Callithrix jacchus: one gene and its partners. The protein of the gene in region 4 interacts with the protein of the main gene of each other region in a pairwise test. Links are inferred from orthologs where the notes say so. Each region holds a gene or a part of one and is shown on either strand. Other genes may lie near its edges. The genes, in order: PAK2, EIF3H, TBC1D22B, SORBS3, KIAA0408, TRIM23 and VARS2.

The links.
Region 1: the proteins of SORBS3 (region 4) and PAK2 interact in binary tests that used the Homo sapiens proteins (3 or more experiments, as listed by UniProt). The two-hybrid records come from large-scale screens. The link is inferred for Callithrix jacchus from reciprocal best matches to the Homo sapiens genes SORBS3 and PAK2.
Region 2: the proteins of SORBS3 (region 4) and EIF3H interact in binary tests that used the Homo sapiens proteins (3 or more experiments, as listed by UniProt). The two-hybrid records come from large-scale screens. The link is inferred for Callithrix jacchus from reciprocal best matches to the Homo sapiens genes SORBS3 and EIF3H.
Region 3: the proteins of SORBS3 (region 4) and TBC1D22B interact in binary tests that used the Homo sapiens proteins (3 or more experiments, as listed by UniProt). The link is inferred for Callithrix jacchus from reciprocal best matches to the Homo sapiens genes SORBS3 and TBC1D22B.
Region 5: the proteins of SORBS3 (region 4) and KIAA0408 interact in binary tests that used the Homo sapiens proteins (3 or more experiments, as listed by UniProt). The two-hybrid records come from large-scale screens. The link is inferred for Callithrix jacchus from reciprocal best matches to the Homo sapiens genes SORBS3 and KIAA0408.
Region 6: the proteins of SORBS3 (region 4) and TRIM23 interact in binary tests that used the Homo sapiens proteins (3 or more experiments, as listed by UniProt). The two-hybrid records come from large-scale screens. The link is inferred for Callithrix jacchus from reciprocal best matches to the Homo sapiens genes SORBS3 and TRIM23.
Region 7: the proteins of SORBS3 (region 4) and VARS2 interact in binary tests that used the Homo sapiens proteins (3 or more experiments, as listed by UniProt). The two-hybrid records come from large-scale screens. The link is inferred for Callithrix jacchus from reciprocal best matches to the Homo sapiens genes SORBS3 and VARS2.

What each region holds. Positions count from the first base shown.
Region 1 is NC_133516.1:25,336,374-25,339,873, reverse strand, and holds part of PAK2 (serine/threonine-protein kinase PAK 2), read left to right. Parts: intron 1-976; coding exon 977-1,124; intron 1,125-3,002; coding exon 3,003-3,034; intron 3,035-3,500. UniProt on the Homo sapiens protein: Serine/threonine protein kinase that plays a role in a variety of different signaling pathways including cytoskeleton regulation, cell motility, cell cycle progression, apoptosis or proliferation.
Region 2 is NC_133517.1:80,710,821-80,714,320, reverse strand, and holds part of EIF3H (eukaryotic translation initiation factor 3 subunit H), read right to left. Parts: intron 1,006-3,500; coding exon 849-1,005; intron 1-848.
Region 3 is NC_133505.1:45,599,801-45,603,979, reverse strand, and holds the start of TBC1D22B (TBC1 domain family member 22B), read right to left. Parts: upstream 2,801-4,179; 5' UTR 2,654-2,800; coding exon 2,598-2,653; intron 1-2,597. UniProt on the Homo sapiens protein: May act as a GTPase-activating protein for Rab family protein(s).
Region 4 is NC_133514.1:18,945,740-18,949,871, forward strand, and holds the start of SORBS3 (vinexin), read right to left. Parts: upstream 2,801-4,132; 5' UTR 2,570-2,800; intron 91-2,569; 5' UTR 36-90; coding exon 1-35. UniProt on the Homo sapiens protein: Vinexin alpha isoform promotes up-regulation of actin stress fiber formation. Vinexin beta isoform plays a role in cell spreading and enhances the activation of JNK/SAPK in response to EGF stimulation by using its third SH3 domain.
Region 5 is NC_133505.1:134,022,110-134,025,609, reverse strand, and holds part of KIAA0408 (uncharacterized protein KIAA0408 homolog), read left to right. Parts: intron 1-1,488; 5' UTR 1,489-1,608; coding exon 1,609-1,743; intron 1,744-2,414; exon of another isoform or gene 2,415-2,501; intron 2,502-3,500.
Region 6 is NC_133503.1:143,903,339-143,906,636, forward strand, and holds part of TRIM23 (E3 ubiquitin-protein ligase TRIM23), read left to right. Parts: intron 1-844; coding exon 845-969; intron 970-3,298.
Region 7 is NC_133505.1:35,708,224-35,712,455, forward strand, and holds the start of VARS2 (valine--tRNA ligase, mitochondrial), read left to right. Parts: upstream 1-1,432; 5' UTR 1,433-1,517; exon of another isoform or gene 1,518-1,971; 5' UTR 1,972-1,998; coding exon 1,999-2,199; intron 2,200-2,320; coding exon 2,321-2,402; intron 2,403-2,518; coding exon 2,519-2,619; intron 2,620-2,908; coding exon 2,909-3,030; intron 3,031-3,143; coding exon 3,144-3,210; intron 3,211-3,304; coding exon 3,305-3,402; intron 3,403-3,991; coding exon 3,992-4,073; intron 4,074-4,219; coding exon 4,220-4,232. Other genes in the region: GTF2H4 (general transcription factor IIH subunit 4), read left to right, coding at 293-340, 497-575, 978-1,150. UniProt on the Homo sapiens protein: Catalyzes the attachment of valine to tRNA(Val) in a two-step reaction: valine is first activated by ATP to form Val-AMP and then transferred to the acceptor end of tRNA(Val).

The DNA of each region.
Region 1 (3,500 bases), on a different chromosome or scaffold from region 4:
ACCTAGTTTGGGCCTATTTATAACATTTAAAATAGCACTCAAACATTTTCTTTCATTACTAAATTTGAAATTAACACTTCAGACTGGGCTCACATCTGTAATCCGAGTACTCTGGGGGAGACCAAGGTGGGCGGATCACTTGAGGTTAGGAGTTCGAGACAAGCCTGGCCAACATGGTGAAACCCCATCTCTACTAAAAATACAAAAAAAATAGCCAGGAGTGCTGATGTGCACCTGTAATCCCAGCTACTTAGGAGGCCAAGGCAAGAGAATCTCTTGAACCCAGGAGGCGGAGATTGCAGTGAGCTGAGACCACACCATTGCACACCAGCCTACGCAAGAAGAGCAAAACTCTGTCTCAAAAAAACAAACAAGGCCGGGCGCGGTGGCTCACACGTGTAACCCCAGCACTTTGGGATGCTGAGGCAGGCAGATCACAAGGTCAGGAGTTCGAGACCAGCCTGGCCAATATGGTGAAACCCGATCTCTGTTAAAAATACAAAAATTAGCCTGACATGGTGGTGCATGCCTGTAATCCCAGCTACTCAGGAGGCTGAGGCAGAAGAATAGCTTGAACACAGGAGATGGAGGTTGCAGTGAGCGCTGAGATCATGCCGTTGCACTCCAGCCTAGGCAGGCAACAGAGTGAGACTCCATCTCAAAACAAAACAAAACAAAAACAAAAAAAATAAATTAACATTTCTATCCATATGTTAACTATGAATTCTTAAAGCTTTTTGCTTTTTAAAAAAGTGTTAGTGGTTGGATATATTGTTTTCCTAGAGAGCAGAGCCTATTATAGTTACGCAAAACAGACTTAGAAAAATCGAACTTTAGAAAACTAGATCTTTTAGAGTTTAGTCAAAGTTATACTCAGAGGATTGGTTTGTTTTGTCTGTTTTGTCATTTATCTCTGGAAATTAATTTTATTGAATCAATTTAAACCATAACTAATTACTGAATATCTTTTTGTTAGGGCATGCCAGAACAGTGGGCTCGATTACTACAGACCTCCAATATCACCAAACTAGAGCAAAAGAAGAATCCTCAGGCTGTGCTAGATGTCTTAAAGTTCTACGACTCCAACACAGTGAAGCAGAAATATCTGAGCTTTACTCCTCCTGGTAAGACAATGGCATAAGGCTGAATCAGATGGAGATTTGTGAAGCACTTTTAGATGAAAAGATTACTTCTGGAAAAATAAAAAGCTAATAAACTATGGTTCTTGTCCATACTTTTTTCCCCTGGTTAGATTCTACCTTCTATAGACTGATCCAGGGCAGTTCTGAAGCATAATTTGGATCTGTGAATTATATTAATATCATAGGTTTGCAGAAATGGGAGTTGTTAAATATTTTGGCTTTTTGTTTATTTGGTTTTTTATCCTCTTTGTTTTTTATTTTTATTTTTTTTTCACTTCTCACTGCTTTTAAATGACTTCCAGCAATCAAAAGAGAAGACGCTGATTGATAGACATGTTTATGCTAGAAATATACTTATTGTTAGTGGGACCAAGAGAAAGGTTGTTTTGCACAGATTTGAACTAAAAAATGTTTAGGTTCACTCAAAAAATGAAACTCATAAGTATGCAGATAATAGAATATATGTATTTTAGTATATAAAATAGATAAATCACATATAAAATAAGCATTAGAATTAAAAGGATTTATACCTCAGAATTGGAATATCTGGAATAATCTATGTAGTCCTAGTAATGTAGATTTTACTTTGTGGATAAATGTAGCTGGATGGAAATTGGGTTTGATTTACTTTGTTTTCCCACTTGCTCAGTATCTGAGATGTATGAGAGAACCAGTGCTCTTAAGAATTGGTATAGTGGATTTTTTTAAAATAGTTTGTTCAAATAAAGATCAGAATAAAGTTCACACATTGCAGTTGGTTGATAGATTTGAATCTCTTTTGGTCTTTAGGCTTCCCCTCCCACACACTGGTTCATACTGTCTTTTCTTGCAGTTTGTTAAAGAAACAAGATCATTTGTCCTGTTTCCCTCAGTTTAGATTTTGCTCACTACATCCTCAGGATGTCATTTTTAAGTGTGTTTCCCTTTCTCTGAAGTCATACATGTGGTTTTCAAACACAGTATGATTGAGGAAAAATCATGCGTGTTATTTTAATTGATGATGCTTAATGTTTGCATCCTCACAGAAATAAAGGCCATGCTCAAGGAAGAAATGGAAATCTTTTTGCAAGTGATCTTGACCTTTTTTATTTAGTCTAGAATGCCCTTAGGAAAAGGTCAGACATGTTCCTAGAACTTTTCTATCAATCAGTAAGTCTGCAGATTAGTAATTTTTATGAAAAATCAATGATTGGCCACAAAATAGTAGCTTATTTTCATCTGGTACACATACATTTGTGTGTGTGTGTGTGTGTGTGTGTGTGTCTCCAGGCTTTTTTAAAAGAAAAAACTATGTCAAAATTTTACTTTGCACAATTGTCATTGTCTTAATGGTTTCAGTAAGTTCCTCAGCAGTTTTCTGGAAGAACTATCTTTATGAATAAATTTGTTTAGTTTTAATAAATACACATTGATAGGTATAGTTTCAAATAAATTGTGATAGCTTTGTTGAGGTATAAGTTGCATGCAATACAGTTCATTCATCAGTTCATCACTCATTTTTAGTAAATTTATAGTTTCATTTAGATTTCAGATTTATTACCTTATTCTTATATAGTTTTGTTTTGTTTGTTTTTTTTAATGGAGTTTCACCACATTGTCCAGTATGGTCTCAATCTCCTGACCTCGTGATCCACCCACCTCAGCCTCCCAAATTGCTGGGATTACAGGCATGAGCTGCCATGCCCAGCCGGTCTTACATAAATTCTTATTTGACTACTTGTGTTGTCATTTTTCTCAAGAGTTAATTCAACTTGAAATCAGTTTAAGAATATTTTGCTTTCTCTATTTTATTTTTTTCCTTTTGTCGTATAAAAGTGCTATTTCTTGAATTGCTAACATTATGTTTTGTTTCATATTCAGAGAAAGATGGCTTCCCTTCTGGAACACCAGCAGTAAGTTAATGATATTTTTTCTTGTAGCTCTTGTTCTGATTTAGGTTACCCAAGACAAATCTCAGTTTTTATTTTGCTTTCTAAAATAGATTACAGCCATCAGAGGTGACTAACTACCCAATAGGTGTTTTTAGCTAGCCACTGATTAGTTGCAGAAGCTATATTAAATAGAAATTCCTTGATATGATATTTAATGTAACTAAAATTTGTAATGACCTTCAGAACTGTTAAGCTGCTTTTGGTAATGTTAACATATACAAACAAGCGTGAATACAAAAAACTTGCTAGCGTATATTTTCCTCTCTTACCTTGCAGTTCTTCTGCTACTATTTTACTGAATACAGACTATGGAAAGGTACTGAACAGTTGAAACTTTCAGTCTTCAGAGTCATCTAAAACTAAGTTATTGCATAAACACAGTCACTTCTTGGAAGTAGTTACTGTTTTATTTGCAGTTCCTCAATTG
Region 2 (3,500 bases), on a different chromosome or scaffold from region 4:
AAAACAAAAAATGCCACTATTCCACTAACGAGGTACCTGTCATCAGACTCTTGGAAACACAAAATAGAATGGTGGTTGCCAGGGGTGAAAGAAGTGGAAAAAGGGATTGTTCAATGGATACAGAGTTTTGAGTTTTGTAAGATGAAACAGTTCTAGAAAACTACAGCACAATATGCATATAGTTAACACTACTGTAAGATATACTTAACATTTTTATGTGCTTTTTACCACAATAAAAGGTTACATAGAAAATGAAACCTGCGAGTTCAAACAAGTGAGAAGTTATTTTAAACCTGATTTTAAAAAAATCTTGAAGATGCCGACCTTGGCCTTTGACGTGAGCTTTTAACTGCTGTCGGCCTTTGCTAACAAAGCAACCACGCCTGTAGTACAAAAATAAAATATTCCTAAAATGCTTGAGGAGTATCTTCTTTTTGAAGCAGAAAATTGAACTCTATCTCTTTGTAAACACTGACTTAGTCAAAAGAGGACAGAAGGGAATGAATACCAGACACACAGGGATCATCTATGTCCCTCAAAACTTTAGTTATTTGGCATGCTGACTTCAGATTGACAAACTGACAAAGTCAACATCAACACAGATCCTATCCAAACTATTACAAATCAGAATCATAAATTCCAAATAAGTAAAACCCAAACTAATGACATCTATAGTACATATCCTCATTTCCCAGAATTTATAATTTTCTCAAAATATTAGAAATCAAGTCAAGTAGGCTAGCCTGACATACTCCCAATTCATACATTACCAAAAGTTACAGTGAGAACTGTGTTAACATCCATTTGTATGCACTGCAAAGACACACACTAGTGATGAACACTCTTACCTTCATCAAAGTCAGCATCATCCTCTGTGTGCTGAGGGAAGGGAAAGCAGTTGGTAATTTCAAGCCGATCTTCTACAACCAGGCCCAAAAGCACTCCTTGAACAACTTCAGTTCCTTGTCCTTCTTCTTGATAATGTTTGATTATCTTTAATACCACCTAAAAACACACACACACAGAAGGGAGCTTAACAACATCCTACTTTATTATTTCCTTTATTTCTAAGAAAATAAATAAATCAACCGTACTCACAGGTTTGCAAAACCACAAAATTAAATAAGAAGAATAAATAAATGTCTTACAAATCATTTCCTTTACCCTTACATAAATAATAAAGCTCACATAATCTTAATATATATCTGAAATTCCAGGAGTTTGACTATATGTCAAAAATGTCCATGTACAGCACTTATGCTCTTAAATCAAAGCTCCCCCATAGTCTGGCATCTAGGAGTTCCTTCAGCCAAATCAAACAATACACCCTCAACCTAGAGCTATTATTGAAGAAGTGATCCTGTTAACAGAAAGACACATAAATGACAAAACCATTAAAAGATACAGAGATAAAGGTCTCAATTATCTGGACACCTGAAAGCAGAGCCTTCTGACAAATTCTCATTTTGCCTTTCTCAACAGACCATCTCCACAGTCAGAGGATGCAACAACGGGAATAGGTACCCACACATATCCAATAAGAATCTAGTTGGTAACAAAGAACACAAACAGAGCAGTCTCCAGCACGATCTAGTTTTTCTCAATCGGAAGGATTTGAGGGAATGTGTTCTCTTTCCGGGTCCATGACAGAGCATAATTTTAAGGGCAAAAACTTCCCAACGCCATGCCCCCCTCCCAACTCTCTCCATCCGGGAGTTTTAACGGTTTATGTTTGAATTTCACGGGCGTGGGAAGAAACCAAAAGTCAATCACTCCAGCGGAAGTTCTAACGAACTCCTTTCATTGGCCCAAGGTCTTAAGAGAAGGTGGTGGTTCCTCCCAGGATAAAAGTCCGTGTCCACACACTTGGCCAGATTTCCCCTCTGAAATCCCCTTCCACATTCTGCATGGAAGTCTTTCTCTTCTCCTTTCCTTCTCTTTTCTCTACCTAAATAAAATCACCTTTCTGAAACACTTCTTGGGTCCAACATTTACTTTTATGCGCATACAGCACACCTGCAGGGGTCCCATCACTTATTCTTTAAGGGATAGGAGGCCAAGAACCCACAGCATTCTCTTGGGGGAGCTGTGCCTCGCCAGCACCCAAAAAAAAACCCGGTTACAGATTCATTAAACAACCTCTAATGGAATACTCAGGTCTTATATAACTCTCTCCTTGAATATTCTCATAAAGATAAAAGAGGTAACACAGTGTATGGGTGGACAAGCAATTAAAGTCCATAATAAGAATCATCATCATTAATAATTTTGTGTGTTTTTTTAGGTGGTTCCTACAACATGGGGTTAATATATATAAAGTGCTTTTCATAGTGCCTGGCACATATTATTAAGAATAGTAACATTAATATTTAATATAAGCCCAAGGCCTGAAGACCTAAAAGGCAACACAGTCAAAATTATAATGGGAAGTTCACAGAGGGAAAATAAGTTTAACAAGAAAATGACAATTTATTTGTACGTTATTGATTAGTGCTTCATTTAAAACAAATATATTATTGTTAGAAACTAATTAATGGGTGGGCCAGGCAGACACAGGGCAGGCAGCTACTTCTGCCTGCAGACTGAGCCCACAGGTCAGCTCAGCCACAGGGGTGGCAAACAAACAGCCTAGGAGGGAATCAATGTGGTTGTCAGCTAAACCTGCTCCCACAAAAGTGGAAATGAAGCTAAAAAAGGCAGCAGGAAAGGATAAATCTTCAGACAAAAAAACGTGAACAAAGGGAAAAGCGGAGCAAGGGAAAAGAGGCCAACATGGCTAACGAGGAAACTAAAGAAATTTGCCTGCACAAAATGAAGAAACTAAAACTGAGAAGAGTCCAGCCTCTGATGAGACCAGAAAGAAATAAGCCAAGTTTGATTATGTCAGAATACACCATGTCTTATCGGTGGCCCCTATTTCCCTTCTTGTACAACCCAGAGGAATACTGTTATCAACTATTTTGTAAACACAAGTTTGTGTGAGATACTGAATTATGGGAGGGTTTCACTGTCTTGAGTATCAGCTTAACATTCCATAGTTGGGGGGTTAGCTTTTATATCCTACAATACAAAGCATACTAATCGGCAATATGGAGTTACAGTTCTGCATTTAATGTCTTGAACATTTTAAATTACTTTTATTCCCACATTATTTTTTAGTAGAATTATTTCCTAAAGAGAAACACTGTTTTTGATCATGGCTCTCTCCGTCATAATGGTTGTGCACTCTGTAACATTTTTGGTTGTGGTAGTCCTGTTTTTCTAATTAACTTTGTTAATGTGCTGTGGAAGATTGAAATTTTGAGTATGTAGTCTGTATGCTATTATATTGTGAATTGGTGGGATCTATGTAACAGCTTATCAACATGCGAAAGTACTGGTTCTTGATAATCTCTTCAGGAGAATTTGCTTTCCAATTTTAAGCTGGAATGTCACTAGAATAACTTTTTAAAAATTACAACACATGGCTTTTTAGATTTTCAGTACCTATGTTCAGAATT
Region 3 (4,179 bases), on a different chromosome or scaffold from region 4:
GCAACCTCCAATTCCCGGGTTCAAGCAATTCTCCTGCCTCAGCTTCCCAAGTAGCTGGGACTACAGGTGCACGCCAGCACACCCAGCTAATTTTTGTATTTTTAGTAGAGCCGGGGTTTGGCCAGGTTGGCCAGGATGGTCTTGATCTCTTAACCTCGTGATCTGCCCGCCTCAGCCTCCCAAAGTGCAGGGATTACAGGCGTGAGCTACCGTGCCCGGCAAAAGTTCTCTATTTCTATGTACTTATTTATTTATTTATTTAGAGATGGAGTCTTGCTTTGTCTATTTATTTATTTAGAGATGGAGTCTCCCTTTGTCACCGGGCTGGAGTGAAGTGGCATGATCTCGGCTCACTGCAATGTCCACCTCCCAGGTTCAAGCTGTTCTCCTGCCTCAGCCTCCCGAGTAGCTGGGACTACAGCGCCACCACACCCAGCTAATTTTTGTATTTTTAGTAGAGACGGCGTTTCACTATGTTGGCTAGGATGGTCTCAAACTCCTGACCTCGTGATTTGCCCGCCTCAGCCTCCTAAAGTGCTGGGATTACAGGTGTGAGGCATTGTTCCCGGCCCTCTCTCAATTTCTCCATATTCTTCAAAATGAAAAGGGAATCCAGAAACTTGAGGAAACTGAAAAGACTTCTCTTCCTATCTCAGAAAAGTAGTGCTTTTAAAATGTTGACTCTTCTATAGTCAAACACAGGAGATATGGGGAAAAAAGACTGTTAATAGCAACCACCAGTCAGAAGGCAGAGAAGGCCATGCCATGTCGCACATCTCTTACACTGCTTCCTGATACAAGTTTTCCTATTGATTCTGATTATAATCTTAGGATGTCAAAATTTAATGATCTCACTATGGAAAATCCCAGAGAATAGCAGTCAGCACAACCAGAGAGCTCACTAGACCAGGAAGGAAAACGAATCAGCTGGCAGGAAGTGGTGCTTACCTAAAGACATAGAACATCTTTAACAGTAATATTAACACTGTAAATCCACAGCACTTTAATCTGAAGTTATCTTTGCATTCCTATTATTTTAATAAATATTACTAAAAGCTGATTTCCACCCTATTCTCCATATGTCTAATAGGATCCTTAATAAAATAAGACTTGCTGGGGCATGGTGGCTAACACCTGAAATCCCAACACTTTGAGAGGCCAAGGTAAGAGGATCACTTGAGGCCAGGAGTTACAGACTAGCCCTGGCAACATTGTGAGTGAGACTTTGTCTCTATTTCATTAAAAAAAGAAAAAATTAAGGCTCTTATCTAGCCACTATTGACCCACATTTCTCTCTTGCTTAAAAATAAATAAATAAATAAATAAAGTCTGCTGGACACAGTGGCCCACACCTGTAATCCCAGCACTTTGGGAGGCTGAGGTGGGCGGATCACAAGGTCAGGAGTTCGAGACCAGCCTGGCCAATATGGTGAAACCTCGTCTCTACTGAAAATACAAAAATGTGCCAGGCATGGTGGCGCGCATCTGTAGTCCCAGCTATCCAGAAGGCTAAGGCAGGAGAATCGCTTGAGGCTGCAGTGAGCTGAGATCACACCACTGCACTCCAGCCTGGACAACAGAGACACTCCGTCTCAAAAAAAAATCACGAGTTCAAAAGATGATCTCACAAGGAAAAAACCTGAATCCACTAGAAAAGGTAGCACGTGGGGCACAACCAAACATGAATTTCATCACCAAGTAGACTGTGGCTGGCAGAAATCTTAAATTCACGACTGAAATACACACTCTACTTTATACTTCTCAGGACTCTCCCCAAAATAAACTGAAACAGTAAACCAATAGATTGATGGATGGGTAATTTGCTAAAAGTCTCAACATACACCAAAAAAGGGGTGGGGGGTAGTCTGAGGAGGTCTGCTCTCCAGCGAAACAACTGAAGAATGAAAGAATTTAGTACATTTGCACAAGAAGAGCATTACAATGCAAGGAAGGAAGAAGTCACTTGGGGTTGGACAAATCCTTAGAAAATGCCAAAGGAATAACCCTGATTCTGTGGTCGCCTTGTATTAATTCCTAGTGGGAAAGGGCCAACTCAAGATAAAGTAAGGTCAGGCTTGAGAATTGTCCTCACTTTTCTTACCTAACCCTCTCGGCAAGAAGCCACAAACTCACACCAGAATCCTTCGGGTAATTGTCCAGCTAGGGGAACAAGGGAAGGGGCCATCCTCAAGCAAGCAACCACCTGTGCGTGGTGGAGACCACTGAGAGGGAGTTCTGATTAGAGTGGGAAGCAGCTCTGGGGATGAACCTCCGAGACCAGGGCCGACACTGACTTATCTCCCAACTCCACTGCGGGTTACGCCCAATCTTCGGCCACCTTCCAGCTGAGGTCACCCCTCCTGAAACCTCCGCCCCCAGACCCCGGTCTACACCCACATCCAGCCGTCCCCAAAGCTCGCTGTTCTCTCCTCTGCCTGACAGCTGCTCTGCAGCCACCAGGCAGCCCCAGTTTTCCCCGCCTGGCTTCCCCAAACCAGTCTTCCGGCCTCGGTGGCGCCCCAGGCCCGCGGGATTAGGGATTAGGATCTGGAAGGGTTTGGTCCAATCCCCTTTCCCTCTCAGCGTCCTGGGCTCACCTCCCCGGCAGCTTAGCGCTCCTCTTCCAAAACTGCTTGCTGTTCTCAGCGGCCATTGCTCTGGCCGGGGGAAGGCCTTGTAGGCGGGCCAGGGGGGTTGCCTGGAGAGATGCCCCCAGACCCCGCAATCTGAGGGCCAACCCAGGCCGCTTCCCCGCTGCCGGTCACCCACTCCCAGCTCCTGGGGACGCCATCTTGGATTTGGGCACCCCTCCACCCAGCGCCGCTGCCATTGGTGGGCTGCGCAAGCCGTGGCCGGGCCGGCCAATCAGAAGCCGGAATCCTGCAAGCCACTGAAGCCAACGGGTAACGTCAGGGGCAGGGCATACAGGTGGACGGGGAAGGCGGAGCTTGAAGGAGCAGAGAGGCGGGGCTCAAAGTTCCTGCCCTCGAGAGGAAAGAAGCAGGTAAAGTAAGGGACCTAAGGAATGGAAGAGAGGGGATTATTTTCTTCGTGAGGAATGAATTTCCTGAATCTAATATTTTTTGGCAAGGGCGAGATGTATTTATGTATAGGAATCTTTAACCTAAAAGTAAGGGCCCATGTGTTGATTGTGTTCCATTTTTAACATCTCTCAACTCAGGGACACTCTGGTTATTTACCCTCCCCTTCCTCGTTCCGTTTAGATGTCCGTTCGTTTTTCTGAAGGAAGGTCATCAGGGATCCGATAGCCCGGGGTTGCTAACGGTTCAGCACGTGAGCAACAGTTCATCAGAGTCTCCCTCTCGCTCTGTTTATTGAAAACGATGGAAGGAATTGTGCTGTGGGTGAAAAATTCAAATTATCTAATCCCGATGTCAATTCATAACTCTCACTTTCTGACTATGCTAACAGTGTATAGGAAATGGTTTATGATAGCCGTCCAACTCAGATTACCAAGTACCATTTCTCTGAAGGACACAGTATAGCTCCATCGTGTGAATCACAAAGTTAAGGATACATCTCCTCCTCACCCACCAACATCCTTAATTTCCCTTGTTAATCTATTATAAATCTTGCATCCTTGGATTTATTTTCAATCTAATTTTCACAATGAGATTTAATATTAGCATTTAAAATATCTTGTCGGTGTTTTTTACTGTTTTTGAGTTTCTATGGTTGTATTCCGTGGTGATTTGGGGAGAGAAAGCAGGCACCAGTCTAGAGTGGTTTTTGTCCCATTCAAGGACTGTTGAGGTGGGCTGCGTGTCCCCCACCCCCTCACCCACCCCCCATTCACAGCTACCACATGTAAGTCCAAATATTGGAGAATACTTGAAGACCTGATCCCATGGGTCCTTCCACACATTGGAGAATGCTTAAGGACCTGAACCCTGGCCCCAGCCAAAGAAGGACCTTCTTTATATGTCCTCCAGCTCCCAGTCACCCCTCTATTCTTTTAATCATTTTACCTGCCTTTCTCTGGCGCTTCTTTTTCTTAAGATGCAGTGACCCACTGCACACAAAACCCAAAGAGGAATGTACTAAGGCTTTGTTAAGGTGGATGTTTTGTCTGTATTCTGGACAGCCAGAACTTTTGCTGGCTGTTTGAGCTTTGGAAGAGTTGATGTCTTGAAGTAATAATCTAAAACAACTTCTAGA
Region 4 (4,132 bases):
AGCCCAGTGGGGAGGCTTCGGGGTGGGCCCTGCATGCTTGGGTCAAGGTCAGAGGACCCTGGGCGAGCCAGCTGCTCCTCTGCGTGTCCTCTGTGGGGAAGGAGGAAGGAAGGGAAAGCCCTGCTAGGCTGGGCTGCCCTTGCCCTCTTGGCTCGACCCTGGGGTAGGGGAGGAGGGGCTGGCTGTGGGAGGGGGTCAGGACCAGCTGGGTGCGAGCTCAAGGACCCAGGAAACAGGCCACACCAGGCACCCGCCTGCAGGCTGCCCATGCCTGCCCGCTCCCAGAGGCACAATGGGCCGCTTGTTAGGCCCAGGGCAGGAGCTCTGGGTGGGAGTGGGGGTGGGGGAGCTTGGGTGAGGAGGAGGGAGGGGAGGGGCAGCTGGCCAGGAGCCCGTGGGGCTCTCCCTGCTCAGTGCAGTCCACTTCCCTACTCCCCCCAGAGGGAAGGCACAGGGAAACTGGGGCAGCTGGCAGAGAGGGGGCCTGGGCACGCAGGACTTTGTTTCAGTTCCCTCTGTCTTCCCCAGGCCCTGTGTGGGCATCTCTTGCCCTCGGACATAAGGGATTACTCAGGCCACCCGCCCACTGCCCTCCAGGAAGTGGCCAGCAGGGCCCTCAGCCCGATAAGGCCAAGGGGAGTGGCAGGGGCATTTCCAGGCAGCAAGAGCCACTCTTGTGAGCTCACAGGGAGCACGGGGCCCTTCCTTGGACTCCGTCACAGAATGAGGACTGGCGGGGGCTCCAGGTGGGTGGAGAGAGAAGCAGTGGGTGAAGGCAAAGCTGAACCTGCTCATGCCCACAGAAGGGTGGTGCTGAGTGCCCTGGGTGTTCTGCATGAGGGCATGTGCACACGCACACACACACACACACACAAACACACACACACACTGGCTCCACTTTCCCCTGCCCCACCAGGCTGTTTTGTGAATGGAGGGTCTCTCCTGGCAACACCACTCCTGCCTGCAGCCAGATTCTTCTGCCCCATGCCAAGGCTGGGGAAGGGGAAGGGAGCCCCAGGCACCCAGGGAACAGAGGGGCAAGAGGGGAGCCCCGAGGGGTGGGTGCAAGAGGACAAAAAGGGGCTCCCAGTTTGGAGTGTCCAAGGGGAATTTTTGACCCAGAGCACTGCGCTATGACGTCTGTCCCTCCTCACCTTAGCTGCTGGACTGGACCAGACACAGCCAGGCTCTGCCACCTCCCAGGCCTGGATTGAATCACATTTGCCTGTGCCTGTGGGGTCCTTGGGGACTCTCAGGGAGGTCCGCAAATGCATCGGGAGGAGCTGTCTGTGTGTGTGTGTGTATGTGTGTGTGTGTTTGGGGCGGGGGTGGGGGGAATCTGGGTGCAGAACTGTGAATATGACTTCTGGAGGGGCCCCCGGGGGGACCACATGAGCTGTACAGGGGTTGTGGATACAGAGGGGTGTCAGCTGAATAGTGGTGGGGGTGCAGTCACATAAGCAGTGTAAGAGCTGGGGGGCAGAGGGGATGATGGTAGACTAAGGCTGGGATGACTCATCCCCTGGACCCAGTTCCTGCCTAGGGCTGGCGAGGGTGCAGCCAAGGCTGGGGGCAGCTCCCTGTCTCTGATCTGAGTTTGTGGGGACTCCTGACATTTGAGCTGCTGTGACACAGCTCTTCTGTGCCCATGACGGATGGGGGGCAGGGAGGAGTGCAGCGCTGAGGCTGGAGGAGAAGCAGTTCCCCAGCTGGGTCCAATTAGGACTCCCACCAAAGCAAAACATGCAGACACACCCCAGTCCCAGAGCTCCACCTCCCCTTTTGGGGGATGTTGAGGCAGGGTGGGGTGGAAGTTCCACAGGCCTGGAGCAGGCTGGCTCCTCTCAGCGCCCCTCCCTGCCCAGCTGATTGCTTCAGGCCAAGTTGCTGCTCAGCAGCCAGGGTCTGGGCCATCAGCTGACAGCACCTTCCTTCCCTGGCCTCCCCGCCCACCTCGTGCTCAGTGAGAACTGCCCTTTTGGAGGATGGGCAGGGCAGGAGGTCCCCCCACAACCTGTATTCAGGGGTTGCTGACCCTTGGCGCTCCCATCTGCACCTCCTCAACCCTGCTCCCTGTGACACGCCCCCAGGAACCTCCAGGGAAGGGTGGTCTGAGTTCTCTTGGCAGCCTGGTCAGGAGACTTAGGGAGGACTTCGAAGAAGAGGGGAGCATCTGGTGACTGCTCCCCCATCTAGCAGAGAGTGGAGGGGCCCTCCCAGATTTCAGGCCGCTCTGCCAGGCAGGCAGCCAGCCCCAGGAGCAGGAGAGAGGCTGGGACTCTGCTGGGGTGGGCCCTGGCCTTCCTGCTCTGAGCACTGCCCTGGCCGTGGGGGCCTGGCCCTAAGCGCTTTCCCAGGTATTTCTCAGCTACAAGGCCACGTGGACTAGGACAGCGTTTCTTGAATTTCACTTTTTCTGGAATGAGGACTGGGTCGGGGGTACTTCCCACCTCTTCCCAGAGTTTGGGACATGGACTCCAGGGAGGGACTCAGTGCGGTCCCCTGGGGTTGGGCGCAGGTCCCTCCCTCCGGCCTCGCCTCCTCCCTGCCCCTCCTTCCCAGGACCTACCTTCCCCGGAGAGCAGGTGGCCGGGCCCGACGTCGCCTGGGAGCGCAGGAGCATCCCTGCCCCGCTGCTGCCTGGAGCGGGCGCTCGGGGAGGAAGGGCAGGGAGAAGCGCGGGCCGTCGCGGCCCTCGTGACCGGGTCAGGACTGGCCGGGCCAGGCCGGGCGCCCGAGGAGGAAGAGGGAGGCCGAAGGGGAGCGCGCGCGGGAGGCAGGATCAGGAGAGTAGCGCGGCGGGGCGGGCGGAGTTTGGGTCTCGGATAAGTACAGCGAGCTGGGGCTGGGCCGGAGAGGAGGGGCCGTGAGAGTGCCCTCTGTCCTTCGGGGCGCGGGGACACTGGTGGCCCCTTGCCGAGGGGGCCGGGCCGGCGCGGAGGCGGCGCCGGGAGGGGCCACCGTGGGTCCCCGGGGAGCCCGCTTTGGTTTCCCAGCTGCCATGCCGGCCCGCACCGCGGTGCTGGCGTCGGGGAGGGGTCGGGCGGGCCGACGCGGGCCACTCAGAGTTTCCAGCGACATTTCCAGAGTGTGGGAAGCGAGCGGCCGCGCTGCGGAGTCAGGACAGAGGGCAGGAGTGGTGAACCGCGGGAGGCGGGGGGAGGCGGACAGACCCGGAGCGAGATGAGGGCGCCCCGCGGACAGAGCGGCCGAGAGGACCAGGGAAGGCCCCGCCGCCCCTCCGCGCTGGGAGAGTGTGTGCCTGCGGCGGCGCGCGACTGGGCGTGTGTAAACAAACACGCGCGCGTGCACTACAAACGTGCGGACGCTCACACACGTGCAAGCATGGGGAGGAAATTGGACCAAGGGAGCGGCCCCCTTGGGTGTGCCGCGCCCCTAAAGAGGATAAGGGCGGGGTCCATTTGGCGGGGATGGGATTAGGAGGGTCCTGGTGTTCCCAGACACTGTATTTGTTTTGATCTGCCTGCTTTTCCGCTGTTCTTGCTGCTCTGAGCTGGGTCCCCAGAGCCCCGGCCCTCTGGCTCCCCATCCACTGTGGCCATTCCCTCTTCCCCTCTCTGCCCCAAGCCTCTGTGTGGCACAGGGCCTACTTCAGAAAGCGAGGGTGCTTAAGGAACACTGATGTACAGTGGGAAACCTTGGGATCCTTTCTGGTGCTTGGGTTGGCTCAGGGATCCCCAAGCCTCAAACCAATCAACCAACTAATAGTTATGATCAACTTTAGATACCAGCTGGGAGCGATCAATGCGAAATGATGAAAACTAATGTCATCTCCTGCATTCCTACTGGGTGTCAGGCTGGTGCCAGAGGCCACCATGAGCTTTGGAGTGTTTTCCAAGCTCTCCGTTCAACTCAAAGGTTGGAAGGAAAGAGAGTGGAGAAAAGACTAAGTGCGTTTCAGTCCCTACCATTACTGCTTTAGCTAGCCCAGTTGCTTTGAATCAACATCACATGTGAAAGCTGGAGATGTTTGGGTTGAGATGCTTCAGATGGGGCTGCTGGCCTCTAGCACCTGCGGGGCTGCTGTGTGGACATAGACAGCCGCACCAGCAGCAGTGGGACCACTGGGAGCACATCATAGGAAAGCAGGTCCCAGGCTTCCCAGGAAGAT
Region 5 (3,500 bases), on a different chromosome or scaffold from region 4:
GTAGAACCCTGCATATATAGCTAATGTTTTTCATTCTTATTCTATTCTAATTCATTGACTGTGACTCAAAAAAACGTATATTCAAAACTGTTTACCACTCAGATATGTACGTTCAGAACAGTCTGACAAAAATAAAATTAGTCTTCGATATTTATCTTATACTTAGGATATGAAATATGCCATTATCTTTTGTGAATACAAAATTGGCACTTGCTGCTTGGGTATGTGGGCTTAATTTGGGAATGCCAGAACCCACAAAGCTACTGACTATTGGGATCTTTGTCTATAATTAGCATAAGCTGCCACAAGTAAGTCATAGCAATTTGGTAATGGCCTAGTGACTGAAGAGTTAGACATCTTGTAGGCATAATTATCTTACACAGAGATTCAAACATTTTAAACATGCTTTTCTACCTCCTAAAAAGGCACATGACTTTATTAATACAAAATTATTTTTAATCGAAGTCAAAACAAAATTTTGTAAAGCCAAAAATAGAAAACTTTCTTAAATTTCTCAAACTACTTTGGATTCAGTATGCCATTTAATCTTTTTTAACAGCTCTATGACTATTCCCATTTTAATGTAAAAATCTAAATCTCAGAAATTTTAGACTTATACCAGAGTTACATAGCTGGTATTTTAAATTGTGACTTCAAACCTTAAATATGCATACCCTGAATTCTAGAAATTTCATTATTTTAGTCACTACTTAATGTAATAGAGGATTCCCTGAAAACTGAGCTACATGTTTTCTTCAGTTCTCTGTATTCAATTTCCTAAGCACTTTATGTCAGGGGTATAGTCTATTCAAAGGAAAAGAGAGCATGGATAAATTTTAACATATATTTTACAGTATAGTTTTGATGCTTCTAGATTTTCCTTTATGAAGTGACATAATGAATTTTTAAATATAATTTAGGTTAGTTTCTCAATGGTACATCAGTCCCAAGTTGACTACCAACTTTGGGGTCTTAATAAGTAACACAGTAATGACATTTGGCACAGGCTTGATCTCTGAATGAAGAATTAAGATTGCAACCCAGCTCTGGCTCAGGAATTTAAGTCATAAGAATATATAAGCAGGTTGTATCAGAACCAAAAAAATAATTTTATTGCAGCAGAATCTGCCACAGTGTGTAGACGTGACCATACATTTGAATTGTATACTTCTCCTCTTAGATATTCATGAAAAAAAATCTATTTTTAGAATAAATGGTTAAAGGAATGATTGTCTCACATGTGCATTTAATTATCTTGTCCACTATAATTTTGCTGTCTGGTCTCAGAAAGGGAAAAAAACCTTTGGACAATACTTACTACTTTATTGACTGTGTTAGTTTCTTCTTCTTAAGTAGACTCTTGTCATCTCTTTTCTTTTGAGTCCAATTTTCCTATAGTTTGTTTATGTCAATGGCTCGACAAAATGATAAAATATATTTCCAAAAAGCACATGGATTTGGAACTCTCTCTTGTTATGTTTATATTAGGCTTTATTTTAAAGGCAAGTGAGACTGCTTCAAATAAAACAACTTCAAGCTTCCAAGAAACAGTTAAGAGGAGGCAGAGAGGAGCAGAAACACTTCTTCGCCGACACTGACACTGTTGCCATGGACCTACATAAGCAGTGGGAGAACACAGAGACTAAGTGGCATAAGGAAAAGATGGAATTACTGGACCAGTTTGACAACGAAAGAAAGGAATGGGAAAGTCAATGGAAGATTATGCAGAAGAAAATAGAAGAGGTACAAGTTAATTTGTTGTGGATGTACTCTAATGTTTAAGTGCAGGATGACTGTTTTGATTGGAAACTTTTTATTTTCCTTATTCCACCTAAGAAGTATATAGCATAATCTTACTCAATGGTATTGTAAGGATTATTTTATATCATTGCATGAAAATTAAGCATTTCAAATGTCACTCCAAAATGTTTCAACTTATTATTTTCTGGCTAGAGAGCCTTTTTATCAAAAGTGAGGTATGTATTTTGCGTGAGTTTTCAAATACCAGGGCCAGGAGTAAAATGCAAGAAAGATATACTTGGTGGGACATAGATTAGCAAAATTATAATTGGGCATTAGAACATAGATCCTTCCTAAGAAGATTTATGAGTAATATCTATTAAAGGAAATTACATTTTAGATAACTCATTATAATCAAAAGGAGTATCATATATCAAACAGAAAATGACAGTGGACATGAGATTTATTCTATCAACTTATATACATTTATTGGCACATTTATTGAAAAAGAGGTTATGAAAAATAACATATCATGAGTCTGACAGTCATTTTGTTCCCATTAACCTTCCCTCAGTCCGTTGACCCTGAAAATTTCCTTCAAGCATTTGCATTGATGTATATTTAAGCTTTTGCACCAACTGGAAGTAATTTATGCTTATCTTGCTTTCTTTTAGTAACATCCATAGTATTGACTTTATATGGTTTTGTGCGCATTACCAAAGTTGTTATTTTAAGACTTCTTGGCCTTTTTTGCAGGCAAAGTAAGTGCTTTATGTTTTCATAGTGCAGTAATTTTTCTTATTAACAGCCATGTAATTGACTGCAAATAAAATATGAATTGGCATAGTAGGAAGAAAACTGAAGTAAAGTAGCTATCAAGCCCTTCCTCTAAAATAGAGCTGAGAAGGCAGGCATGTAGTATATGATGAGGGATTAAAGAATATACTTCTTGTCCCTGTAGTTTGGAAAATGTGTCCTGCTTGCTCCTTTAACTCCTCTACCCATACTGAGATTGTATCAACAAAGAGATGCCCCGGTCAAATCAGAATCCAAAACTCCAGTTCAACAGAAACTGATCTGTAGTCATAGGTCATTGGCTTTCACATGTTTGGGAAGTTCATAACAGTCTCAGACAATTCTAGCATCCAAGCAAAATACCTAAGAGAAGCAGGATTCATCTAGCCAATTTTTAAAGCCGTGTAGTCAAAATAAACTGCTGTCTGATTAAATTGATTACTGTCCAATAAGTATTCTGACAATTCTACAGGGTTCATTTAAGGTAAATATTATTAGCCTTATCAATTAGCAGGCACGAAATATGCTTTAGACATCTAATTATACCTCATAGAGATAACATCCCTTTCCAGGGAGATAGAAGGGCTGTCATATTTTTTTCATCTTGGAGAGTAGCTGTAGTACTGCTTATGTTTTACTTCCTGTACTATACAGCTCCATAACTGTGAATTTGTTTAGATAATGTACTTACTCCTAATGCCTGTAGATGATGCTTTTCAATAAAGACTTGGATACCAGCACTGTGCTGCCCTTACTAATATATATGCCAAACATTTATAAAACATACCTTCTTACAGGCTTCAAAGCTAGGGGTAAAAAGAAACAAGAGAGGCCGGGCGCGGTGGCTCACGCCTATAATCCCAGCATTTCGGGAGGCCGAGGCGGGTGGATCACGAGGTCAAGAGATCGAGACCATCCTGGTCAACAAGGTGAAACACCGTCTCTACTAAAAATACAAAAATTAG
Region 6 (3,298 bases), on a different chromosome or scaffold from region 4:
CAAGATTAGAGACTGAATTATTTTTACTTTGGGATTTTTGATATTTAGTATGAGCCATAATTAATAGAATTTTTGTTTTTTTGAGACAGAATCTTGCTTTGTTGCCCAGGCAGGAGTACAGTGTTGCGATTGCAGCTCACTGCTATCTCTGCCTCCTGGGTTCAAGCAAGCCTCCCGCCTTTGCCTTCCAAGTAGCTGGAACTACAGGTATATGCAACTACATTCATCTAATTTTTAATTTTTTTTTTGTAAAGACAAGGTCTCACTATATTGCCCAAGGGTCTCAAACTCCTGAGCTCAAGTGATCCTCCCACTTTGGCCTCCCAAAATGCTGGGATTATAGGTGTCAGCCACTGTGCCCTGCAAAAATGGAATTTTGAATATGAAGAATGGTTGAAAGTATGGGGATAGTTAACTTAGAGACAATACTTTGCAGGGAGAAAAATGGTGATCATTTTTATCTTTTAGTCTTTTATTTGAAGATAAAATATTACAAAAATAGTATTTGAAGAACAAGTAGCATCAGTAGGTAGAAGATCATGAGGCATATTTTGAAATTCATTATGTAAAAAATGTTCCTTGATATACAGACCAGTTTGCATTTGATAGAGCAAGTGTTGTAAATCTATCATAGATGGGGAAACTAAACCTGAGAAGTTATATGAACTACTTGAAATCATACTGTTCATTATTTGTAGGTGCCCCTGCCATACTAGGCAGCCTGTGTGAAAATGATGATGGTAGACAAACTCTAACCATAATATAATAATGATATCATTAAATATTTGGTCCATTTACTGAACTTTAGCACGTGACTAATTAGTATTTTTGTTTTTTTGGGTAGCTGTTGTGTTTGTTGTAGATAGCAGCCATAGAGACAGAATTAGTGAAGCACACAGTGAACTTGCAAAGTTGTTAACGGAAAAAGAACTCCGAGATGCTCTGCTCCTGATTTTTGCTAACAAACAGGTAATGCATTTTTATATTGGAATACTTATTTTAGTAGTTTTGTGCATTCCATGTCATAAGAAAACTGGAAATATTTCAGAAAATCAATTCCACAGATATTTATAAAGTTTCTCTGTGTATTTTGAGTACATCTATGTGAAAAATGCTGTGTTGGGTACCTGGGAGTATACAAAATAGAAATAAGGTAGTTCATGTTTACCAGAAACTCCCAGGTATGCATATGAACACATAAGTGAGATTCAAATACAAAGGCAACTGATAAGTGACTTCAATAACAGAATGTTACAGGGAATTAGGAGAGTAGTTCTAAATGTGGCATGTTGTAAGATTGTAAAATTTAGGATTTGAGCTGAAATTATGGATGAGGCTGAGTCAATATGTGAAAGGATGAACATTACAGAGATGATAATAGCATGAATGTTTTTAGTCTAGGGAATATCAAGCATATCTGTATGTCAGGTGCAGGTATTCTAGAGAATCTAGAATAACAGACAAGACCATGCTGTAAAGCCCTGACAGAGCTAGACTGAGAAATTTAGGTTTTATTCTATGAGCAAAGAGGAAACATCAAAATGTTTTTGGACTAGTGGGCAATAAGATCATATCGGTGTTTTGATACTATAATTCTAGGGGTAGAGTGAATCAGGGCAAATGACTACAGACAGAGAAATGCAGTAAATTGCTTAAATAATTCAAGTGAGCATTAACAAGACTCCGAATTAGAGAAATAGAAAAGTGGAGGCAGATGGAAATGACTTTGAGGTAGAATTGGTGACTGAATGGCCGGGATGTAGGACTGAGAGTAGCTGAAGATTCCTTGACCTTGAGCCTTTCTAGGAGGATGAGATGCCTTTAAGTAGAGGTAGTAGAAGGAGAGTAGAAGTGAAGTAGAGAGATGTCATGGGAGGGGAAGAATAGGATGAAGAATAAAGAATTTTCCCCTTAATGAAAAAAGGCAAACTGTTAACAACTGGTATATTTAAGACATTCAAATAAGTCAGTGAATGTTCCTTGATATACAGACCAGTTTGCATTTGATAGAGCAAGTGTTGTACATCCTGTCATAGATGGGGAAACTAAACCTGAGCAGTTATGTAAACTACTTGAAATTGTACTGTTCATTATCTGTAGGTGCCCCTGCCATACTAGGCAGCCTGTGTGAAAACACCATTTTCTGCTCATCAGATAAAGATTAAAGTGTTTTGTAATCTTCAGACTTACATACACCATTATTATTTTTGAGACTGAGTCTTGCTTTGTCTCCTAGGCTGGAGTGCGGTGGCACTCTGCTCACTGCTTGAACCTCCCTGTCCTAGGTTCAAGCAACTGTCTTGCCTCAGCCTCCTAAGTGGCTGGGATTGCAGCTGCTTGCCGCCATGCCCAGCTAATTTTTGTATTTTTAGTAAAGACAGAGTTTCACCATGTTGGTCAGGCTAGTCTCAAACTCATGACCTCAAGTGATCTGCCCGCTTCAGCCTCCCAAAGTGCTGGGATTACAGGTGTGAGCCACTGCACTGGGCCAAATTCCATACACTTTGAATATGATACATTTTACTCCTTCAATAAGATGGGATTTGAATCTGATATAGTAAAAATAAATATATTCTAATTATTGTATGATTTCTTAAATAAGTATACCCCACTCTTGGTGGGTTATTAAACTGAGACATTTTCTTGGAGGACAATTGGGCAATACTCATCAAAGTCCTTTACCCTGCCATTCTACTTCTCTGTATCTGGTAGACAAATATCCAAAGGTTATCCTGCAGATAATTTTGCAGATATACATACGTGTATGTCAACTCTTGTTGTATATGTATGTTTATGTATTATATGTGTGTGTATATATATGGATTTGTAATATATAAGCACAAAACTTAAATCTGAACATTCAGTATAGGACTGGTTAAATTGTTGTATCCTCACAATGGAAGGGAATTCTGATATTAAAAATAATGCAGATAATCTGTGCTGATAATGGAAGAATATCTTCAACATGTTTATGTAAAAAACAAAAAACCAACCCTGCAAGTTATAGAAAGTCTAAACTATGTTCCTCTTTGTGTTTATTTGCATGAACATGCATGGAAATTTTCTGGAAAAATACATTGTTACTGGTGGTTGCTCCTGGGACAATGGGTGTTCAGAGCGGGAAATGTAGTGAACTCTTCAATATATAACCCTATTTATAAACTATTTATTAAGGTTTTCGTGTGTTAATTTTTTTTTTAAGTTGATGCCTTATAATTACTTAGGCCGGGTGCAGTGGCTCGCACCCTTAGTAATCCCTGCACTTTGGGAGGCCAAGATGGGCAGATCACTTGAGGTC
Region 7 (4,232 bases), on a different chromosome or scaffold from region 4:
TCAGCGCCTGCCATGCAATAAGTGCTAAAAAAAAAAATAGTAGCTGTTGCTATTTTAAAGAAAGAAAAGCAAAACATTACTGGAAAGGGCAAATGTGCCAGAGAAGGAATAGCAGACGTGACCACTGGGAGCAGCAACTTGGGATAACAGCTGAACTGGGATGGGTGGAGTTGATGACAGCGGTTAGGAGTTTTTAGAGTAAGCTGATGTTCCAGTGACATTAGGTGACAGCTCAGATGGCTTTCGTGTCCTCTTGCTGGAGCCCTCATGCCATTCTTGTCTGTTTTCCTAGATAATCCATTTCCTAAGGACAAGGGCCCATCCAGTGATGCTCAAACAGGTACAGGCAGGCTTCAAGATGTCAGAGGCTGGCAGCTGGTGATGAGACAGATGATGGAAAAGAAAAACGGGCATCCAAATCTGGGGAAGGAGCGGAGGGCCAGGTAGTCTGGGGCAGTATTCCTGAGTCCCTACAGCCAACTCTTGCTCCTTGCAGACACCTGTGCTCCCCCCCACCATCACGGACCAGATCCGGCTCTGGGAGCTGGAAAGGGACAGACTCCGGTTCACCGAGGGTGAGTCGCTTTTGGTGGCCAAGGCTTGGTCATTGGTCAGAGGATGGGCAGGCAATTCAGTGTTGATAAGCTGTAAAAGCGTTACATGCATTTTAATTTTTACTTCATGAAATAGGAGAAAAAAGGTGGCAAGAGAGTTTTTTGTTTTGGGGTGAGTCCCTAGGGGAGGGAATAATTCACAGTAATTTCTATTGGGCCTTTATGAATATGACCGATCACACTGGTATTAAGATAAACCCCTGAGCAGACAAGCATAGATCATTAGTTTCTAGAACTGCAGTGGGGGAAAGCCCAGACCACTCTCCAGGGCTGCCACGAAGGAGCTGGGGGGATTTCCAGCAGGAGCTCCGAACCTCACTTTCTCATCTTCTCCCGACGCCCCTCCCGTTCTGCCGACCCCAGGCGTCCTGTATAACCAGTTCCTGTCGCAAGTGGACTTTGAGCTGCTGCTGGCCCACGCGCGCGAGTTGGGCGTGCTGGTGTTCGAGAACTCGGCCAAGAGGCTCATGGTGGTGACCCCAGCCGGGCACAGCGACGTCAAGCGCTTTTGGAAGCGGCAGAAACACAGCTCCTGAGAGGGCAGGACTAGGACCCGGACGGACCTCGGCAGGCGGGACCGGGCGGGGCGGGGCTTCAGAACTCAGGTGTTTTTTATTTACGCGTCGGGACTTTTCTTGTCTAATAAAGTTGTGATAGTGAACAGTGCGGTCCCAGGCGCCTCCCTGTGGGGTCTGCCTTCGCTGCGAACGCCGTCCTCTGCGTTTACTGCCGTTGGACCGGGAGGGAGAGGGTGAGGCCGAAGCAAGCTGCTGCGCATGCGTCGGCCTGAGCCCCGCCCCCATGCGCCGCGCGGCTCCGCGGCCAAGTTCCAGGGTCCGGGGTAGGTGGAGTCCCCAGTCCCTGCAGCCGCGGGGCGCCCTGGGATAGCGGCGGGATCTCGCGGTGAGCGCATGCTGGGGCGTTCTCTGAGAAGTGGGAAGCGCTGCGGAGCCTGGGTCAACGCGTTGGTATAGGCGGGAAGGCCAGGCCGCGCCGAGCTGTGGGCGCTGCAGGAGGCCCCTGGGCTGGCGGAGATCGTAGCGGCCCTGCCAGGACTCCTTGCTTGCTCCTGGGAGCGCTGATGGCCATCATCTCCCTGAATTTCTGTGCCCTCCCCTCACATGTGTCAGTGGTTACGGCCAAGTTTAGACACTCCGGCCGTGCTCCGGAAGAGCCCTGGTCTCCGTGGCTCCACGACACTGTCTGTCGACACTATGCCACTCTAGCCCTCCAGGAGGAAACGTGGTGTGGGAGGGATTAACAGACCCGTGCTGATCAGAGCCGGGAAAGATGGAACAAGGAGAGTGAGCCTCCTGCACCCCCGTATCCTAATGTGCTCTCTCTCTATCCAGAACAGATCTCAGCCCCTTTCCAAATACTCCTGATGCCTCATTTGTCTCTATCCTCTTTTCGACCACCTATTTTGGGGCTGAGGCCCTCATGGGGCCTCCCCAGGTTCCATCCCGTTTCTACACAGTCGGAACCCCATGGATCTCCCATCTCCCGGAGGAACCGTGAAGCCAAACAGAAGCGCTTGCGAGAGAAGCAGGCGACTCTAGAGGCTGGGATAGCAGGGGAGAGCAAGGTTAGGGGTCAGACAGCTAGTTCTTGGGTTTCTGAGATTTGGGAGGGGCTGGACGAGATGCGCTGAAATGCAGATGTCTGGGGTATACTGGATCCCAGCCTCTTCTGCTTTTTCTCCTCAGTCGCCTGCAGAATCCATTAAGGCCTGGAGTCCTAAGGAGGTAGTATTGTATGAAATCCCTACGAAACCCGGTGAAAAGAAAGGTAAGTAGAATAAGTAAAAAGGTCTTTTCTTTCCCATTTGTGTTACCCATTTGGCCCGCCGAAATGCAGCTTGGGAACATGTTCAGTGGTTAGTGGAGCTCTCCTTACCTCCACAGATGTCTCGGGGCCCCTGCCTCCTGCATACAGCCCCCGATATGTTGAGGCTGCCTGGTACCCGTGGTGGGTACGAGAGGGCTTCTTCAAACCAGAATATCAGGTTCGTATCTGGTGGGGAGAGGTCCTAAATGTTCTTCAGGACAGAGTGGCCCTTGAATACAACTGGAACCTCAGAGTTGAGCTGACATTGTAGACTTTGCCTTCTTTCTGGCCCTGGTGTCTCCAAAGATTTCTCTTGGCAGGTTCCCCCTGGGCGATTCCCTCCTCTCCACCCTCCTGTTATTTGCAGGACAGTTCTTCCCTGAAGTTTTTTTGTTTTGGAGACAGCAGAGGGTGCTGTTTCCTCAATCCAATTCTCTCTTGCCCTTTGACATTTTTTCTTCCTCTAGGCCCAGCTGCCCCAAGCTACAGGGGAGACCTTTTCCATGTGTATCCCACCTCCCAATGTCACTGGCTCCTTGCACATCGGCCACGCACTCACGGTGGCCATACAGGATGCCCTCGTGCGCTGGTGAGAGGGGAGTGGAGGCTGCTTGAGTTCTTGGAAGGGAAGTAGGAAGGGTAGGAATGAGTGAGGATAAACATTTAAGCACAGGTGCTCACGGGAGGGCATTTCTGTTGCAGGCATCGAATGCGTGGGGATCAAGTGCTGTGGGTCCCTGGTTCCGATCACGCGGGAATCGCTACACAAGTATGTCTTTTGTTATATGTTCCTTTTCTTGGGTGAAAGCAGTTTCTTCCCTGAAACCAACCTGACTGTTCATTTCCCCTGAATCCAACTGCAGGCTGTAGTAGAAAAACAACTGTGGAAGGAACGGGGAGTGAGGAGACATGAGCTGAGCCAGGAGGACTTCCTTAGGGAAGTGTGGCAGTGGAAGGAGGCGTGAGTATGATGGGCAGGGGTAGGGGGGCCCAGATGGCAGATTTGAGTTCTTATGTCCCACCACTATCACTCCTGACTTGTAGTCCCAACACAGAGATGGAAGCTCTGGAGCCCCTTAATGTTTGGTGGCGTTTCCAAGCCATTTGTGTGTGTGTGTCTGTGTGTATATTATATATGTATTTGAATGTTCGTGTGTTTGTGCATTTTTTCTTTCTCTCTACTTACCCCACTTTCTCTTGTGTAAATCTCAACTTCTTCCACTCACCCATTCCTACGTTCCAATTGTCATGGAATTACCCTCATTCTTCCAGGTCTGTTATCTCATGTTATCTTCTCTGTGAAGCATCCTTGGATATCACACAATGTGGCTGGCCCTCCTCTCTCCCTATAGAACCTTTTGCCTCTTTAAATATCTTAGAAAACCCCATACTGGGTTTGTGAGTCTGTTTCTATTAGCCTGTAGAGGCTGGATCAATGCCATCCTCATTTGATCTTCATCCAGCACCTGGCATTGCTGGGGGCATTGCTGGGCCTGGTATATGGGAAGTGCTTGGGAAGCATTTGCTGACAAGGATCTCTCTGGGCACAGGAAAGGTGGAGAGATCTATGAGCAGCTGCAAGCTCTGGGTGCCTCCCTGGACTGGGATCGAGAGTGTTTTACCATGGATGCTGTGAGTGTTTCTGTGCCTTGGTCCCTGTGAGTGTTGGAGGATGTTTAGAAATCTCTGTGGGGCAGGGAGGTGGCAATGCCTGGGTCCCTAAATAGGGTGATGGGCTGAGCAACCGCTGTTAGAGGTGGACACTCAGGTCATTCCAGGGCTCCTCAGTGG